3 linked regions of the Danio rerio genome follow. Each later gene encodes a partner of the first gene's protein in a complex. Links are inferred from orthologs where the notes say so. Each region holds a gene or a part of one and is shown on either strand. Other genes may lie near its edges.

Evidence for each region.
Region 2: cmc1 (region 1) and timm21 share a complex: the UniProt entries of both Homo sapiens proteins name them as parts of the MITRAC (mitochondrial translation regulation assembly intermediate of cytochrome c oxidase complex) complex. The link is inferred for Danio rerio from reciprocal best matches to the Homo sapiens genes CMC1 and TIMM21.
Region 3: cmc1 (region 1) and smim20 share a complex: the UniProt entries of both Homo sapiens proteins name them as parts of the MITRAC (mitochondrial translation regulation assembly intermediate of cytochrome c oxidase complex) complex. The link is inferred for Danio rerio from reciprocal best matches to the Homo sapiens genes CMC1 and SMIM20.

What each region holds. Positions count from the first base shown.
Region 1 is NC_133191.1:59,066,942-59,071,381, reverse strand, and holds the start of cmc1 (COX assembly mitochondrial protein homolog), read left to right. Parts: upstream 1-1,623; 5' UTR 1,624-1,754; coding exon 1,755-1,773; intron 1,774-4,440. UniProt on the Homo sapiens protein: Component of the MITRAC (mitochondrial translation regulation assembly intermediate of cytochrome c oxidase complex) complex, that regulates cytochrome c oxidase assembly.
Region 2 is NC_133199.1:17,611,239-17,615,414, reverse strand, and holds the start of timm21 (mitochondrial import inner membrane translocase subunit Tim21), read right to left. Parts: upstream 2,851-4,176; 5' UTR 2,712-2,850; coding exon 2,429-2,711; intron 1-2,428. UniProt on the Homo sapiens protein: Participates in the translocation of transit peptide-containing proteins across the mitochondrial inner membrane.
Region 3 is NC_133182.1:65,051,136-65,055,220, forward strand, and holds the start of smim20 (small integral membrane protein 20), read left to right. Parts: upstream 1-1,162; 5' UTR 1,163-1,219; coding exon 1,220-1,328; intron 1,329-4,085.

The sequences.
Region 1 (4,440 bases):
AATGAAAAATCTATTATAGTTTCTCAAAATAGCAACGCGCCAGCGGTCCGCCTCAGAACGCCTTCCTTTTTAAACCAGAACGCCTATGGGCGCACATATGAGCGCTAATGCATTTGCTATTTAAACAGCGTGCTGCAAAACAACACTTGTGCCAAGCTGAAACTAGTAAATAGCATTTGCGCCGCGCCTTGCGCCGCATTGCGCCGGGTGTATGATAGGGCCCCTTATCTTTTCCAGATTAGTATTGTAATGATTTGAGCCTTTTATACAGCTGCCCTGGACGCTGTGAAGTGACTGTGTTCATCTTTGCTGCTGTGATTGATTAATGTTGTTTTGATGCTCTCTGAACGTTCACAAACAAACTAACATCAGACTAACACACACAGATGAAGAGCACACATTAGACACACTTATTGATCTGAGTGTCTGAAGCAGTGTGTGTTTCAGGTAAATCTGTGTGTGTGTGTGTGTGTGTCTGTGGTCTGCTGTTTGAGACACTCTGTCCTCAGATACTGCTGCAGGTGTGAGAAACACCGACAGTGTCAGACACACACACACACACACACACACACATTGTGTCTTCACCTTTTCTCATGCTAAAAGAAACACAGATGTGTCAGACACACACACACACACACACACACTCTCACTCTTTTATCCACACTCTAACACACACACACTTTTTCTCTCACATGCAGTATGTACTTACACACTGTGTCTGCACCATTTCTCATGCTAAAAGAAACAAAGATGTATCACACACACACACACACACACACACACACATGTATCATCCATTCATTCATTCATTCATTTTCTTTTCGGCTTAGTCCCTTTATTAATCCAGGATTGCCACAGTGGAATGAACCGCCAACTTATCCAGCATATGTTTTACACCCTTCCAGCTGCAACCCATCACTGAGAAACGTTCACACACTCTCAATAAAACTCATACACTACGGACAATTTAGCCTACCCAATTCACCCTGTATCAAGGTGGCGCAGTGGGTAGCACGATGGCCTCACAGGAAGAAGGTCGCTGGGTCAGTTGGTGTTTCTGTGTGGAGTTTGCATGTTCTCCCCGTGTTGGTGGGGGTTTCCTCCGGGTGCTCCAGTTTCCCCCACAGTCCAAACACATGCGCTATAGGGGAATTGGGAAGGCTAAATTGCCCATAGTGTATTAGTGTGTGTGAGTGTGTGTATGTGTGTGTGTGTGTGTGTGAGAGAGAGAATGTGTGGGTGTTTCCCAGTGTTGGGTTGCAGCTGGAAGGGCATCCGCTGCGTAAAAAAACTTGCTGGATAAGTTGGCGGTTCATTCCGCTGTGGCGACCCCTGATTAATAAAGAGACTAAGCCGAAAAGAAAATGAATGTTAATACAAATTTAAATAATGATGCTTAAAATAATGCTGACCATCACAGGAATACATGTAAGCAGGTTGTCTGCTTATAAATAAAGTACATTTAAAAACACACAATTTATAAAATGCCAAAATCGTGTTTACTAGTATTGATTTAAACCATTTACGTCTGTTTACACAAGTTGTTCAAAATAAAATCAAAACAACTTCAGTTCAGCCGGTTTGTAGTTCAGCTTGAGCTCTCAGAACTACACTGACCAGAAGCGCTAGCGGCGTCACCGGAAGTGAGTGAGTTTCCAGCTAAACACGCCGCGCAGGGTCACATTGGATACACACACCGATGTTTTGTAATATTAAATAATAAAGATACTACATTATCATTACCTTCAGTGTACATGGATCCGCCTAAAGCAGGTAGAGGAAGACTTTCATTTCCGCCAGACTTGTTTGTTGTGAATGTGTGTGTGCTGAGCTACAGTACAGTGTGTTTACTGCTCAGAAATGACAGGAGTTTCTCTAGCGATATAATCCAGTTTACTGATCCACACATTACTGTAGAGACAGACTGCCATACCAGGAGTTATTCTGAATATAAATCACTATAATGAGATCAAAACATACTTATTTTATAACACTGTCCTGATTTTCAACTAAACCATAGTGTGTCTGATCAGCAGCAGCAGCTTCTCATCAATACATTAATGTGTAAATCACTTTCTGCTAATATTTAATCTAATAATGTGGTTCCTGTAGTGATCTATCACATGCAGTCCAAAATGTAGCCATCAAACCATCATATTTATTTAACAATATATTAGCACAGTGGTTCTCAAACTGTGTACAACGCAGGCTTACTTCCAGTGGTACACGGAGGAATCACTGAGTAATAAAAGAAAAATACAATTTTAATCATATGATGTGTACGATAACTCCAATCTGATCAGAATTGGCTGTTCTCTAAAGCCTACGATAAAAGCGATGTGCTTAAAATGTTTACTTTAGTGCATCAGCTGCTAAAAATCAATCCAATTGACGCAGAACTAAGGAGGTGTGTGGTGTTTGCAGAGCAGATATGCACTAGAGCAGGGCTTCCCAAACTTTTCAGCCCGCGACCCCCAAAATGACAATGCCAGAGACTCGTGACCCCCAATATTCTCTGAGGTGGTGGTTATAAATACAGAAACCTTGTATGCAATGATGCACACACACACACCAATAGACCCAAGTCTATTCTTTGTTTTTTTATGTATGTCAGTGCTGTAAATGGGCTAGAAAGTTTAACCTGGTGTTACAAAATCTGCTGCATCTGACAGTATTGTTGTGTCTTTAGTATAATGTAATTACCCGAGAAGTCGCAATCCAATAGAACTAGTAACTATAAGCTACTATAGTAACTATATAGTTTATAGTAACTATAAACGACTATTTTTTTCTCTTCAGTAAGTTATTGATAAAATACAGTAAGTCTTAAGGTTTAATAAAAATTAATCGATTTTTAAAAATCACCAGGCGACCCCCCCTTCATTGTCCCGCGAGCCCTCGGGGGGTCCCGACCCCCACTTTGAGAACCTCTGCGCTAGAGCAGTGGTCCCCAACCCTCGGGCCACAGACCAGCACTGGTCTATAGATCAATTGGTACCAGGCTGCACTAAAAATGATTAATTATTTCCGTTTTATTCATTATGTGAGTCTGAATAATCATTTATTTTGAAAAATCTTTTATTTGGAAAAATTACAGTATTCTCTTGTTACATCATGGTCACTTGAGGGGCAAAAATTGAACCCACAAGCCAGCAAAATGAGTAAGAATTGCAGCACGATGCGCTTGCATATTCCAGGAGTGCCTAGTTAAAAACAACTTAACTTTTCAGAATGCAGCACGGCGAGTCACGTGACAAAAACCCACTTCATCAGCTTCATATTTCGTATGGAATATCATTTTGATAGACTGATTATCTCAGACAAACACAGAACACCCAAACACTGCAGTGCTTTTTTAATTTTCTCCAAAAATAAAACTTACAGTGCAGCAATGTTATGTCAGCTTTTCCCCACCAATCTACATACAGGTTAATGTTTAGATTTCAAAAAGTTTTACAAATATGTCATATGTGCATGCAACATTCATTCATTCATTTTCTTGTCGGCTTAGTCCCTTTATTAATACGGGGTCGCCACAGCGGAATGAACCGCCAACTTATCCAGCAAGTTTTTACACAGCGGATGCCCTTCCAGCTGCAACCCATCTCTGGGAAACATCCACACACACATTCACACACTCACACTCATACACTACGGATAATTTAGCCTACCCAATTCACCTGTACCGCATGTGTTTGGACTGTGGGGGAAACCGGAGCACCCGGAGGAAACCCACGCGAACGCAGGGAGAACATGCAAACTCCATGCAGAAACGGCAACTGAGCCGAGGCTCGAACCAGCGACCTTCTTGCTGTGAGGCGACAGCACTACCTACTGCGCCACTGCTTTGCCCCTGCATGCAAGATATCTTTCAAAATCTATCAAATATTGTATAAATATGAATATGATTCTCGTTTTGGAACTGTGCAGTGCTGTAGCTGCTTAATTTGGCCAACTATGCTACTCTATTTTTAGTACTGGTCATTATTGTGGTATATGGAGAGACACTTTTTTTCTGAGGTGGTATTTGGTGAAAAAAGTGAACCACTGTATTAGCAGAATTACTGTGAAAAGTTATGGAAAATCCACTTTGTTGTTTAAAATATTCCTGTAAAAGGGTTATGGGAAACCCATCGTCATTCTCTTTCAGATGATGGAAGTGCTCACAGTCTGATGATGTAGTGTTTGGTTCAACAGATGAACAGAAACGTGTTTATTAACAGCATTCAGGCCCAAAGGTGTCTGAGATATGAACAAAGGTAGAATTATATTTGACTAAAGTTTACCCAGAGTGATTTCACTGATCATACAAGAGTTTCTGACACCTGGGCTGAGTTTTTAACCTCTCGGTAAATCAACTCAGAGTTCAAGTTTAAACTCACAGGTTGTCAGTTGTCATGTTGGCGTGGGTTTCCCCCACAGTCTAAACACATGCGCTAT
Region 2 (4,176 bases), on another chromosome or scaffold:
AACTGTACTGTTTACTTCACTATCAGTACTTTATTAAAGTTTTTTTTTTTATTTTAGAAAATGTTTACTTTTAATTACCACTACTACTACATTTGAGTCCAAAACATTGTACCAAATCGTACCGAATTATTCATTTTTAAACTGGACCAATCTGATTGCATCTGTTATTGGGTCAACAAATTCTGATTCAAATAAACCATTTAGATTGAGCATTTAGTAATACATTAACTGCATTTACTAACTAATTATAAAAATGAGTCAATGTTTCCAACATTCTTCTTTTCTTCATTTCTTCTTCTTTTATGGAAAAAAAAGGTTAACTCATTTAGAACAAGTCTAAGTGAGTAAATCATGACATAATTTCAATTTTTGGAAGTACCCTTTAAAAATTGAACAAAGTTACAATAACAGAAAAATAATGTTTTTTTTGTTGTTTGTTTGTTTTTACTGCTGAAGTACATTACAGATATAAAATTGTCAGTTACATAGCATTCTTCATAAAATGTTAACACATTTCTCCCTGTTACACCTTTTGTATATTGTATGTTTACAATGTATTTGGGCTATTATCACTATAAAGTGCCTTTGATGTCTCACATGATTGAATCAGTCCTATATGAACTTAATGCGAAATAATGAACTTCTGATGTTTTAATATAATTGGTAAAACCTTTACACACAAGCGGGTAGAATTAGAAGTGTTTTGAAATATGTCTGTCAAATTTTCCAATATTCTTTTACTGAATGAATGTGATTTTTCCATGTCCCACACACTACACAGCCAACTTCAGTGAATCTAAAAAGTAGGTAAATTAGATAAAATTGAAAAGATTAAAAAAAAAAACAAGTTAAGTCTTAAACAAGTTATTTGTTAAAATATGTCATTTTGATAACGTTTATTTTGTTTTCATAACATTATTAACCATTTTGCATTGGTCCTTAAAATTGTTGTCCACTCCATCATAATGTAGTAAATGCTCGAATAAGAAACCCTCTACAGAGGAGGTTAAAACATCTGCTGTTCGGCCTGTCACAATAATCAATATATTGACTTATCGTACAACACACAGACATGTTTTCAATCATTTTTGGTGATGCAACATATATCGCCCATACATGAAAAACTATTCTAGTTCTAGCCACATTGTAGCTGATTACGTTTATAATCTGTCAGTGTTAGTATGGTTAAAAAAAACACTATAGTATTTACTATTAATTATTATAGTATTAGTATATAGTATTAATATTATTATTTATTTGTTTAGGATATACGTTTTCTATGAAATTACAATACCTAATTATTAAATTGTTAAAATGACTATAATTAAATATTCTTAAGAATAAAATATTGTGTTCTTTGGAGGGGTGTACTTGCATTACGATGCTATTATAGTGTCAAAATGGTCTTAAAATAATGATAATATTGTTTATCGCAATAACATTTGTTGCTATATATCAAACCACAAAAAATAGATACCATGACAGGCCTATCTGCTGTGCACACAGTAAGTATCTAAACTAACTTTCGTTTCCTATTTTTCCCCATATTGTGTTTGAAACTGAATATTGTCAAGCTTAACATTTCCACCATGTCACAGTGAAATATGAATGAATAAAATAATAATAAAAAAAATTAAAAATCTGAAAAAAAAAAAATTAAGCTTTTAAACTGTGTACAAAGAGCATATTTAGGAGGCACTTTATCAGCTGCAGGTAAAACATGTGTTGAAGAAATGCTATCTTTAGCCAAACAATGTCCTGTCACAAATCATTTTCTTTTTTTATTGACACTTTATTTATTTAATAAAATGTATTTTTTTAATGTATTTATTTATTGTTAATTAGTTAGTTTTATGTAACAACTCTTATACACACATACTTTACCAGCAATATCTTTCTCAGTCTATATAAAGGATATCCTTCTAAAGTCCATATAAAGGAGCTCATTGACTGTTTGAAATAAAAATACATACCAATATCCACCCTGTAATCTTGTTTACCACTGTCATGTTAAACTTTTATGAAAATAAATGTCCATTATTCTATAGTTAAGAAATCACATAGGATTTTTTTGCTAGGTTTATAAATAATTTGTTTAAGTTTGAAAGTTTAACAAAATATTTTAGATATTGGGTTTTATTTTGAAAAAGTGCTGGAGCTTGACCAACATTTATTTCTAACAGCTAATGTCTAATTAATGCAACAACTATGTGGTTAAATCAAAAACCTTTTTAATGTCTCAAAGGCAATTTAACTTGATAATGACCCATTTATTAAGTTCTGTAATACTTAAGTATAGTGCATATGTATATAACCAATCTTTGGTTATATAACATGTAAAAAGTAAATAAACACCAGTAAGTACTTTAATCGTTACTTACTTAACATTTATAACACATTAAAATAAGTTTTAAACACGTAACGTTACCTTTCTGTGTTGCAGACCCTCTGGAAGGAGTGTGTGGACTTCTGGAGACTGACAGTTGATCGGTGTCCTTCTGCTCATCTTTCCTACTACACAAATAAACTCCTGTATAAAGCGAGCGAGTGTGATAAAATGCCCACTTTGAACAGGGGCAGTGGTTTGTCTGAAACACGGGATCTAGTGTCAGTAAAGATGATCTCGGTTGCTGTAATCTGACATGCACACGTTTTAATATGTGCTGCACACAATTTGTCGTCCTTCCAATTCTCAATACTAAAGAAGACATAATGAGTACAACAAATATATTGCTCTAAATAAAAGATATAACGTGCATAAATTTAAAGAACGTATTTTAATGACTTTCACATGTCTTGTCGTTTAACCAACACACTGAACTAGAAGTCATTATTTGTTGGCTTCACGCTATTTAGTTTTTTCATAATAAAAGCCTCAAATCAGAGTCCACGAATATAAAAGGATACCTCATCAATTAATTTACCATCAAACCTTCCAGGATATGACTTTTTTTTAAGTAGAACATAATATAATATATATAATTTAAGGATGAAGCAAATGACTGCCTGTGGAAGAAACTAAACATCATATTTGTCAAATTTTCTCACAGATGTTCAACAACATTTATTATTTTAAAGTTATGGCATCCTAAACATAATTTGTGTTGATTTGAATTGAAATAATTGTTGAGAAAATAAATATATCCTGTAATATAGGCTAACTTATTATAAGGCGATTTAGTTTATTGAACTGGAAGGCATTTGTTGTTGACTTCACACTTACTGTTTTTATTTTTTATTTTACAAATTAAAAGTCAACAAGTCTCCAAACTCTCCGAATTTCATCCTTGTTACACAAATTGTTCCCCATTGTTACACAAAACGTGTTCACGTCAATCGCCAATCTAGTTAAACCTTTAAATTGCACTTTAAGTTGAATACTATCTATATCTAGTAAAATATTATGTAGCTGCCATCATGGCAAATATAAAAAAAGATTAGTTATTAGAAATTAGTTATTATTATGTTTAGAAATGTGTTTTAAAAATGGGTAAAGAGAGGTTAGTAATTCAGGAGGGCTAATAATTCTCACTTCAAATATGCCCCAAATCCTGCTTTTGCAGCCATACAGCATCAATTTATCTTGGGAATGACCTTCAGATGTCCCGCAGAGTGGCCAGAAAGATTTTGAGCCAATTTTTTTACAGGATTGTGGCTAGGTCACTACATGATGCTGGTGGGGGGAAAAAAACCTTTCCTGATTCTCTAAAACACTTCAAAGTGGCTTAATAGTATTTAGTTCTGGTGACTGTGCAGGCCATGGGAGATGATCAACTTCATTTTCAAGTTCATCAAACCACTCTGTTACCGGTCTTGCTGTGTGTATTGGTGCATTATCATCCTGATATACAGCAACACCTTCAAGATACAGTGTTTGAACCGTTGGGTGCACACGGTCCTCCAAAATCGGGAGCCCTGGCAGTGACCTGCCCATCTAGCACACGCCATTAGGAAAGCCATGATATTACAGCCTAAACTATCACTGATTAGGCATGGGTCGATATAAGATTATGGTATGATAACCTTGGATATAAATATCACAGTATTACAGTATTGACATCACTGCTCTAATATGCTCTTCTTACATGTCTGGGTAAAAAAAAAAAAAAAAAAACCTTTTTTCCCTTTTTACACAATATATTTTAATTTGAGAAACATTTAAAATATTTTGAAGCA
Region 3 (4,085 bases), on another chromosome or scaffold:
TTTTGCCGAATAAAATCACCAAATATTTTCTTAATTTGGATTTTAATTTGCTACATACACCTTTTTAAACCATTGATTCTAAATTAATGTTGGTTTAAACGTTATCTTCATTTTAACGCAGTTATTTATGCCTTTGTGTTTCTAAATGTAACCTACATTCTCTAAGTAAACAGCAACGCTCAGCTCTAATGCACTGGCACAGTCTGGCAGTGATGGATACCAATAAATAAGTAATAAAGCTTCACATAAAAAGAACGGAACTCAATTTATGACGTTAGAGAATTATAAAAACATAGTTTTCACACAAAATGTGTTAACAGTGCTTGACTCTTCTGTGGAGCACAAAAGGCAGAATGACTCTCAGTGTTCATTCAGTTTCATTGTTTGTTAAAAGAAGTAAATGGTAACGATGTCAAAACAGTTCCACGGATAGAAGGGAACATACAGTTTGATAACAACAAGAAGAATGCGAGTAAATCATTTCATTTTAATTTTGGATATACCGTTACTATTGCTTTAACGCTCATTAGTGGAGTGTTTTAGATCCGTCACTGTCAGGAAATGATAGCCTTTTAGTTTCGTCTCAGATGAAAGTGAATGATAGTGTGCTTAATATACCAACGTACGGTACAGCTAAACAACTCTGTAAACTACGAACCAAACGGCTTAGTATACGACAAAAACAAATGTAAAGCCGGTGTGAGACACAACAGGAGGAAGCTGGAGCTGGAGTACCTTGGGTTTGGTACCCACACCCGCGCGGTCCGGTCTCTGGACACCGACACGAACGCTCCGTCCGGGAAGGCGACAGCGGCAAGACCCCGGACATCCATGTCGTGCGCCGGGAGAGAAGAGCGCAGTCTGTATGAGTTACTGCCGGACATTTTTACAGCTGAGAGACGGCGATCACTACACACACTGACACAGCAACACTACACACATACACAATGCATGACGGGACAACACCGGGCAAAATAAAAGCCGCACTATCAATTATAACACTGACATGATCATATGAAATACTTCTATTTTTATGAGTACAATATCATACTTCTGTAAATATTCATTAACATTATAATAACCCTAATTTTGCGCTTGAAGTATGCATAATATATTTTAGTTAAGAACAGACTTTAAACTTTTTATTTCTAACGTGAACTTCACCCCGGAACAACTTGAGTGTGTTTGCGTCCTCGAGTGAGGTGAAACTGTCAAAATCATGTCCAGTTCTAAGAGGATAACGCTCATATTTGGAGGCTTCGTTGCAGCTGTTGCTGCAGCTTTTTATCCTATATTTTTTCATCCTCTCACACACTCTGAAGACTACAGTAAGTGTTTAATATCACTACTACACATGAAGTCACCGTGACACAGCCTAAACTTAACTTATGTCATAACGTCACATTCGATTACCCTGCATTTTGTAACTTATTAATCGTATTGGAATAATATATTTGGTGACATAGATTGGGATTAACGTTAGGCATGGGAAAATAACTGTTAACGGTTTTCAAGGTATAGCGCGGTTTGCAAAAGTTAAGATTTTAAAATTGTCAACATTTTCTTATATAACTTACCGTTTCTAAGGTATGTGTACGATTTTTTATTTACATTTCTTTTTTATGACAACAGTATCTCCAGCAGAAACGATATCCAACGATGTCATTTTAAATGGTTAAAAAGTTAGTGTTTTTAAATCAATTGAAGACCACATAAGTCAATGATTCATTTGAATTATTTAGCCTCACATGTTAACTGTTCTAAACAATTTTAACTGTTTCTCCAAATAAAATATATTGTGTTTAAAGTGGGGGAAAATGTTTTATTTTTACCCAGATATTTAAAAAAAAATACATTTTAGATCAGTAATCACAATACCATATACAGTATTACCGTAGAACCGTGAAACTGTCATATTTTATTCAAGGTTATCATACTGTCAGAATCTTATCTTATAAATTTATTTTCATCTAATAAAGCTGTTAAAGTCTCAATCAAAATAATTCATAATTGCCATCCAATAAATACCAAAACTAGCTAAATATAATAACAATATTTTCCCTTTATGCATTTTGTACTCAATATAATGAAACACTAAATAATTTATTTTGGGAGTGCACTTCCTGTCAAGTGTTTTGGGTTGACTTTTTCGATTTCATTAAAAAAAATCTTATTTCCAAATTTCTGTATTTCCCCAAAATGTTTTTCTTTGGTTACTTTCTGAATGTAGATCCTTCTCTTTGTAAATTTATTATTAATTTATTGCTTTTTTTGGCTAAATTTTACATTCATAAATGTAAATAAAAAAAAAAACATCCTTACTTTTTATTTTCAGAAAGGACTATTATATTACATGTAAAACTCTTTTAAACTTGTTTATTTTGCTGGAATTTTAGTCATGTAACCCTTTTTGTTTCTTTGTTCATACTGTATCTTTGTATTGTTCTTTCTTGTATGATAAAAAAGAACTTTAAAAATACATTTAAAAAACGTATTATTGGGATAATCAGGTTGAACAGTCGTTATAATCTGATGTAAATTATAGAAATAATATTTCAGTGTTTTAAGGAATGTACACATATTATGATGCTGATTTTATTCTACGTTGAATTACATACAATGCAGAGCTCTCTTGAATGAGACATGTTGTATGTATATTAGGTTAGGTTACTTATACCCAAAGGTAGATTTGGTTTGCAGTCAAGAGTCCTCATTTCATAGCAGTGCCACACTAAAAAACTCACATAGTGACAACAACAAATAGACATAAAACATAAACGTACAAAACGTACACTCTTTAAAAAAAAAAAAAAAAAGAATAAATAAATAATTATTTCAAGAGCCAAAATCACTCTGGACCCCTCACACCCAGCACACTGCCTCTTTGAATTTTTACCTTCTGGTCGACGCTACCGAGCACTGTGCACCAGAACAGCCCAACACAATAACAGATTCTTCCCTCAGGCAATCCATCTCATAATTATGAAAAGAAAAAACATCACTACTTGCTATAGCTATACACTTTTAATCCACATATACACTTATTTAGCAACATACTTTACATGCCAATTTACACATAACAGCTGCACATATAACGTATATAATAATACACATGTACACACACTTGTCAATTTGTATATTTGCATTCACTTTCTACTTCTATTTTTAAAATACATTTTTTTATCTGTTTTTTTGTCCTGTCTTTGTAATTCTGTTGCACTGTAGAAAGCTCTGTCAGGAAAGCACGTGTGAACACACCTGGCAGTAAAGCTTTTTCTGATTCTGATATACAAGTATCGTTTACTTCTACAGCTTGTTACAAGAAACCAACGACTAGATGGAAGGAGCTGAAACTCTGAGTGTAGGGGATTTTTATTATGTGTTAAGTTAACTTAATTGATTTGTGTTGGGAATTGCGTGGATTCCAGCATTTTGCATTTTTTTACAGTGCAGTTTTTCAGTGTATCTGCGGAGTCTTAAAAAGTCTTAAATTTCTAAAACAAAATTGAAGGCCTTAAAAAGTCATATTCACTGGAATATTGTGTTGTAGGTCTTAAATCATTTTAAACTGATCTTAATTTTCCTCTGTCCAATTAAAGCTACACAATCGGGCAAACATCCATCCAATCACCAACAATCCATCTTAATAAAATCAAGGAAAGAGAACTAAAAACCATTACACAGTTCCTCATGATAATAACAGAGTAATATATCCCTTTCCTTTCCCAGGGATGGGTTGCAGCTGGAAGGTCATCCACTGCGTGAAACAGGTGCTGGATAAGTTGGTGGTTGATTTCGCTGTGGAGATCCCAGATAATAAAAAGACTGAGCCGAAAGAAAATGAATGAATATATCCCTTAACATTATCTTCCATTCATACAAAAACTCTTTACAGAAGTAAGGGGGAGTAGACATAATATTTATAAATAGGCATTAAACTTAAAGTTTTTATGAACAGAAACACATTAGGTTGAATAGAAGTTAATACTCAATCAATTTAGACCAAAGGCCAACAAATATATAGTTTGGTTATTTATGGAATTGCCTCCACAATAAATATACTTTTAACAATGTTAAACTTGTCA